Linked DNA regions of Caenorhabditis elegans. The protein of the gene in region 1 interacts with the protein of each later gene in a pairwise test. Each region holds a gene or a part of one and is shown in the gene's direction. Other genes may lie near its edges.

Evidence for each region.
Region 2: the proteins of C17E4.2 (region 1) and rad-23 interact in a two-hybrid assay, tested with the Caenorhabditis elegans proteins (2 studies listed by BioGRID).

The regions. Positions count from the first base shown.
Region 1 is NC_003279.8:9,410,265-9,414,010, forward strand, and holds C17E4.2 (Cilia- and flagella-associated protein 157), read left to right. Parts: upstream 1-2,041; 5' UTR 2,042-2,049; coding exon 2,050-2,634; intron 2,635-2,681; coding exon 2,682-2,774; 3' UTR 2,775-2,958; downstream 2,959-3,746. Other genes in the region: C17E4.19 (uncharacterized protein), read left to right, coding at 350-802, 988-1,101.
Region 2 is NC_003280.10:11,651,037-11,654,965, reverse strand, and holds rad-23 (UV excision repair protein RAD23), read left to right. Parts: upstream 1-2,236; 5' UTR 2,237-2,237; coding exon 2,238-2,309; intron 2,310-2,355; coding exon 2,356-2,439; intron 2,440-2,488; coding exon 2,489-3,292; intron 3,293-3,346; coding exon 3,347-3,358; 3' UTR 3,359-3,704; downstream 3,705-3,929. Other genes in the region: nep-1 (Neprilysin-1), read left to right, coding at 1-70, 394-493; rpn-12 (26S proteasome non-ATPase regulatory subunit 8), read right to left, coding at 873-1,007, 1,059-1,454, 1,528-1,603, 1,650-1,705, 1,750-1,839; coa-7 (Cytochrome c oxidase assembly factor 7 homolog), read left to right, coding at 3,818-3,916.

The DNA.
Region 1 (3,746 bases):
TAGATTAAATTAAGCAATTCTAGGATTTTGTTTTCGTACCTTGCACATATTAATTGCAAAGCTTCGAACACCTGGGACCCTAAACCTAATAGTATAATTACTGTTTTTGGTTTACTCCAAGAAAATTGATTTTCTCCCGACATCTGCTCATATTAATCCTTTTGGCACCGAGAGCTCATTTCTTCTCATTAATGGTCTCTGTTAGGAACAAAGATTAATTTTGTCTTCTTTTCTTCTGATTTCAAAAGTTTAAATACAACTTTCTTTTAACTTTTCAAAAGCAATTTTCCGGCTTCTCACTTTTTAACCCATTATTTGCATAACACAGAATCTTTAACATTTTTCAGACATGGCTTCCGAGTGTAAATCTTGCGAAAATCTCGTGGATCATATTAAGGAAGAGATGTTTCACATTGAGGAGCTAAGAAGTGAAATTGAACAACTTGAACAATATATTCGGAATCTTCAAATCAACTTTGAGAAAATTCAAACTGAAAATGAAATTTTGAAGACACAGTTGGAAGAAAAAGAAACGGAAGCTGAGGAAAGTCAACGACTTCTTGATGTAATCCATAAAGATCGTGATGAATGTATTGAAGAAAAAATGAAAGTTTCAAGATTTTATCGAAATGAAATCAAGAAGGTTATAGAAGAAAATGAAGCTCTACGCAAAGAAAACAATAATTTAAAAGATACATATAACAATGAAAATATCGCAAAGATCGGGAAAAATTTGGATAAATTACAAGAAGTTAAGACAGACATTTGCAAAAATAAAATCAAATTGAAAGAGGTTGACAGTGTAAGTTGGTTTTTGTTGTAAATAGAAATTCTATCGATAGATATTCTGGAGTTTGCCATGAAACTTTTATAGTGCCTAATTTTGGAAATTTGTCGAACGGAAGAGATATCGTAAGCAACGGCGTCTTCCATCTTCGTTGCAAATTTTTTATTTTCAAATTCCTCTATTCAATTGTTTCATTTCAGATCACAACGAATGCATCCGTAACTATAAAAAATCAGAAGATTGAATTATGTGAAATGGAGAAGAATGAGGATGAACTGTTTGAAACCTTCGAGTATATCGAGATAGACCAGTAGCATGGAATTCAAAGTTATTCGTTTTGAATTGCTAAATTCAATTTTTTTATTCAATTGTTATCAGAAGCTGTATAAATTAAAGAATTTATGATAGTTTAAAATAAGAACTGATGGCACGAGGAGAATATCATTATGACATGTCTTAAATTCAACTATTTAAATTTATTCATATTTATATTATATGTAATTCACCTAACTCTTGAATTTGATACCACATAGTTAATCAAAAAGTATATACATCTACCTATTTCAATTGTATTCGATTGTGGACAATATCGTATGACTTCCATACTGTCGAAAATGCCTACTTGGTCTTACCCGTTGTTTCACAACAGGTCTCTTTCAAGATGATGTTCCATGTCGTACTGAAAACTGATTCAATTTTTATTTTCCAGCAAAATATAAAAGTTCATGAAGCCCCAAAAAAGTCACTGATTGTCATTTATGGACAAACAATACATAACTTATGCCTTTGATTAGTTAAATTTTTATTTTGCTCGAGATACTCCCCCTTCAGATGTTTTTCCATTTTATAAATTGTATTAATCCCAGTAATTTACTATCACTCAATACTCTTTTTTTTTACAAGATATTGGTTCTTCTATTGCCCTTCTATTGCCCAATTGGCTCAAATGGCTCCTCAATACAAGGTCAGCTCATCGATTTCAGACAAATAACACAGTACAATTAGCACCTGGAGGCAGACAATGGAAGATAATACTTCCCAAAAGAAAGCTGACTTTTGGGAAAGGGGAGTACGGTAAGACAATGTTGAAACGCCTAGAAACCCGCTGGAATTATAGATATTTATTATTGTCTGAGAAGGACAGCTGTTTTTTCTCCAAGGTAGGCCTAAGGCCCGATTCTCCAAGATAATTGCTCCTGTTTTGTTTGAATTTCGTCCTTCACCGTACATAGTTTTTTTTCAAAATTAAGTTTCGTTTCCAGATGAATCCCAAAATCTCTGTCTACGAAAATTCCTCCAACACTTTGGAGCTGACCCAACTAAAAGCAGAAAACGAATTTCTGAAGCATGAGCTCGTGGAGCAACGAAACATTTTCGAGTCAATGCTCGGAAAAGAAAAGTTTGACTTGACTTTGGAGATCATGCTTTTGAAGAATCAGGTCGAGGAATCGTTCAAGGAAAAGAAGATGATTTTGGCTTTTTTTGATGAAAAGGACAGCGAGAAGGAGCAAATGGTTTTGAAATTTACCAGAGAAATTGATGAGCTCAAGGAAATCATCGAAGACAGTGTTTCGGATAAATTGGACTACAATGAAGAGACAAAAGCATGTCATTCGGAAATTGAAAGACTTGAAGATGAATTGAAAAACCGCAAGAGGGATCTTAGACGAAGTGCACGAGAAATGAAAGCAATGGAATCTCAAAAAGATTATTTGATGACAGAGTGTGTACAGCAAAAGCAGGCGATGAAACGATTGGAATCTAAAAATCAAAAGCTTTTGGATCATATGACAGCAACTAGTGAAGGATATCAAAGATTGTCAAGAAACAATGAAAATCTTCTGAAGGTTAGTTCTTGCGATCTTGTCATTTTCAATATTAAGTCAACTTTCAGACGAATGCATTGTTGAATGAAATGATCGGCAGATTCATGGCTCGAGATCAACGACAAGTTCAGGAAGAGGAAACTAGTGTTCTGAAAAAGTGATTTCTGAAGAACGTTCACAACAGCTTGCTCATCGCCCTTCATCGACTGTCAGACCAACTTCCTTTTGTAGTTTTCTAGTTCTTCCATCTCCCTGTAACTCCATCGATCATTCATGTCATCTCATCATTGTAATAATTCAATTTTCTAGAAATCCCTTTCCAGATAAATAAATGAATTAAACCGTATTTTATTGTGTATCTGAAAATGTCGAAACAAGCAGAACGTCATGTGCATTTCGATATCTAACGACTTTGATCTGCCTATTGTTGCAGGTGTTTTTTAAGAGCACCTAGATAACCAATAGGCCCACTACTCGATCGACAGAGTCAATAAAACGTATTGCAGTGGGAACAATTCTAAGAGGTCATTCACATTGTCCCCCAATCGGTGCTAACTATATATTTCAACTGCTACGTATAGCAGTAAAGAACATCGCCTTAATTTTTATCTATCATACACTGGCAGCCTGCCAAAAATGTTTTTTGGAAAATGATTAACCAAAACTTTGACTGAATTTTTTTTCAAAAATCTAAAACAAGTGTAAAGAGGCTAAATTTCTACTGAAAAGCGTTAATTCTTCTCTTCTTTTCTCCTTTTGTCTCTCCTGGAGAGCGTAAATACATAAAAAATTAATTTGAATTAATTTTTTCATTAAGGAAACCAACATCCTATACGACTGTATTCTTATTCCTGAAAAATTCACTGTCTCATCAAAAAAACCACAACTCTCAACCTCTTATCTTATCATTCTTGTTATCTGACTAGCTGCCATCGAATATTGTTCTAGTTGGGATCTCAGGTGTTCACTCGCGATAAATATGATATGATAAGTTGTGATATGTATTGTCGGACAGTGAATCTCTATAAAAATTCCGCATTGAATTTTAAAAACAACATAATTTGGCTAATACTGCACCTGTACAGCGAGATTTTTCAGAGTAATTACTAGTTATGCATAGGAAAATACTGTAT
Region 2 (3,929 bases), on another chromosome or scaffold:
GTGGAGCCAAGACGCCAGAGACCAAGACTTTATTGCTACTCACTGATCCTCACTCACCAGAAACTGCAAGGTATTACTGAAACACTAAATTCCGAGAATGCGTATTACATAACATATTTGACGCGCAAAATATCTCGTAGCGAAAACTACAGTAACTTTTTAGAGGGCTACTGTAGTGTCGATTTACGGGCTCGGAAATTTATTTATTTTTCGTTTAACAATCGAAACCACTACAGTAGTCATTTAAAGATTTACCTCGTGAGTTTATTTCCATAAGTAGACGATTTACTATTTACATGTAGTTTTCGCTACAAGATATTCAAAAATATGTTACGCAATACACATCATCGTTCATTCAACTTTTTTGGCAACAATTATTTATAATTTTTTCAGAGTGAACACGGTTCTAACAAATCAGCCAGAATTTGCCGAGGCTTTCAAATGTCCAGCTGGATCTCCGATGAATCCAACGAAACGCTGTGTTGTGTGGTAATCAGAAAATACGGGAAAGGAGTCAACCAAGTTGGCACGCTTTATCTATCTGTCTCTCAGAATCTACTAAATCTTTCGTCCTTTTTTTTTACTCATCTAGCTGTATATATTGTTGAAAACAATAGACACTCGAATTCACTGTATTTTGTCCCTCTATGTATTTTTTCTCGAATTTTTCCAACTTCTTTTTTTGGTATATCATATTGATAGATGTTCTTGTTCATTCCAGAAATCTTTGTGCAAATAAAATTTTCAGATGTAATTAAAACTTGCTAAAACAATGCATCGGAAAGTTCATTTTCTTACAGTACCGAGAAAAAGACGCGAATAAATTAAAATCAGTTTACAAATACAATGCTTGAGTTCTTGAAAGACACCGGTTAAACGATTTGTTCGAGTTGCTTGGCGTAGAAGAGGGTTTGAGTTGCGACTCGCACTGTATCCAAATTCACAGGCTTCTCCTGAGCCACCTCAATTTCGAAAACGTAACGCTCTCCATCCAAATGCCATTTTCTCTGTAAATAAATATATTTTTTAATACTTGTAGCTTTAAAAATCATTATTACCTCTTGTCCAAACTTTTTCATTTGTTCGTCATTGTCGAACAGAAGCATGACCGTGGCATCCTTCGCTGTCAGAACTTTGAAAGACTTCTCGATAGATGTTGCGATTTCGCGACGGATGGTGTCAAGCATAATACGAATGAAAATAGTGTAGAAGGGGCTTGGAATATTCTTCTCGGTGAGCACAACCTTGTTGTAGGCTCCTTCCATGAGACTCTGTTCAATACGAACTGGCGTAGAGATGTAAGCGTTTGATGTTTGCTCTTTCTGTGGAATTTGTTCGAGGAGCATGTGGAAGTCGGACAATCTGTTGGCAGCGAGCAGGAACATCAGATGGAGTCCAGTCATTAAATGCTTGTTTTCAGAATTTTCTGGCGCCATTGTATAGTAGGTATGCATCTGGAAAATTAAAAATAATTTACAGATCGTTAAAAATTACATAAATTTTCCAAATAATTATTTAAAGACTCACCTGATTGATGTAATCGTCGAACGTTTCGAAATCGTGCTTCAGAATTGCCAAGAGCACCGAAATCTCGTACAAATCTCTGAAAATTAATAATTTAAACTCATTACACCAAAGAAAAATCTTACTTTGAAGCCAATGCAGACTGTTTATCATTCAAATCGCTGGAGGCACTGAGAACCTTCTGAAAATTCAATTTATTTACAATTTGACAAACAATTAACTGACCGTCAACTCATTCAGAGCCTTCTCAACTGCGACAAGATCTTTTGGCTCCTTTGCCCACACAGCCAGAAGATTTTTATGGGCGGCAGACATTTTCTTAAATCCAATAATGTTTTAATTTGATAAAATCGAAGATAAAAGTTCACGATAAACACAAGTGAAGTTAAAAAATAAAAATAAAACATTCAAAAAAGAAATAAACGCATTCTCCGTAAATCGACACAATGACAATTCTGGCAGGTCTCGCCACGAAGAGTGTTCAAATCATGTGCGCCTTTAAGACGCCAAGCCATTTTCTCTTCTGTTTTTTACCACTTATTTTGTTCTTCAAAATGGTTTTTTTGTTTTGTTCTTTTATTAATAATCAAATGTTTGTTTATTTTATACATATATACTGCTTGTTTTGCATTAATATCAATCTGTTATCGATATTTATTTCTTTTTCTTTCAATACATGACTCTATTCGTAACATTTCACAATTTTTTGCAGGATGGTTTTGTCCGTTACATTCAGGACTCTCACACAAGTTAACTTCAATTTGGAATTGAATGAAGATCAGACGGTAAGATTAGAGTTAATGTTCGACTTGTATTTTATTTTTCTTTCAGATTGCGGAAGTAAAGGCTCTGGTCGCTTCGGAGAAAGGGGATGATTATGCTCCAGAACTTCAAAAATTAATCTACAACGGAAAGGTATTACAGTGAAGGCTCATAATATCTTTAAAGTATGTTTTTTTTTTAGATTCTCGACGATTCTGTGAAGGTCGGAGAAGTCGGATTCGATTCTTCGAAGTTCGTTGTTGTGATGCTCAGCAAAAGGAAAGTCACAGAAGTTGCACCTTCATCTACCGTTGCCACAGCTGCTGAGCCTGTTCCAGTAGCTGCCGCTCCTGCGTCAAACCCAGCCCCAGCTGCCGATGTTGCTCCTGAAGCTGCTGCTCCTGCTGAGGCGGAGGCGCTTACGGATGAGCAAGAAGAGAACGTTCTCGCAATCACTGGAATGGGCTATGACCGTGAACAAACTATCGCTGCTCTGCGCGCAGCATTCTGGAATCCAGACCGCGCAGTCGAGTTTCTTCTCAACGGACTTCCTGATGATGCTGCTGACCAAGAACCAGATTTGGGGCCCGAGCAAAACATCGATAACGTGGATGAGGATGGCAATGACGATCTTAACATGCTTGCAAACATGCCACAGCTTGCAGAAATTAGAGCTTTGATTCAACAAAATCCTGAAATGCTCGCCGCAGTCCTTCAGCAGTTGGCTGCTGTCAACCCAAGACTTGTTCAGACTATTCAGAACAACCAGCAAGCTTTCATGGATCTTTTGAATGGTGGAGCTCAAGGAGCCGGAGCCGCTGCAGGAAATGCGCCAGAAAGAAACACCCCACGTCGCCATGTTATCCATCTCAGTCCCGAAGAAGCTGCTGCTATTGAGAGAATCAAAGCCATAGTTGTTAATGCACCAGAAGCTGTGGTTGTGGAGGCTTATTTCGCATGTGACAAAAACGAGGAAGCCGCTATCAACTTTATTTTCAGCAACCTCGTGAGTTTATTTCCATACGTAGATAATTAGAAGTTTAATTTTTAATTATTTCAGGATGAGGAATAATTATCTTACCCATGCCAATAACTTCTGATCACCGTCACTGGAAATTGCAACAGAAATTAATTTATTCTCTCTCCCCCATTTCCGTAAAGCTTATATTCTTGCTCCTATCAGCCTAATTTTTTTATTAACACTTCTTCCAAGAATGTGTATTCATCGCCTTCTCGATTGCCCTTTGTCTATATATTTAAGATAATAACACATTCAGTTCCATGTGCTGATTGTCACCCGCTACTGGTAGGCACTTCGTTGAAATTCTCGTCGCGTTCAGCGAATTTTGTGTGACATAATTTCGGTATTGTAATTCCCTTTTGTCATCCAACATTTTCAAATGAAAGTCAAATGTTTTAATGATTCTTCGTTTCGATTTATCAAACTTTACCCAATGAGTCATCACGATTTCGTACTCCAATATCGGTCGTTCATTTCTTCTGAATATGCGCTAATTCACTTTACTTGAAGATGTCTGGAAAAATAAGCGAAGAAGCTATGCAGGAACAGGCCGAAAGGGCGGAATATGTGAAAAATATTGGGATTGAGTACAGATTTGGATGCTACGAAGTGAGAAATTTGA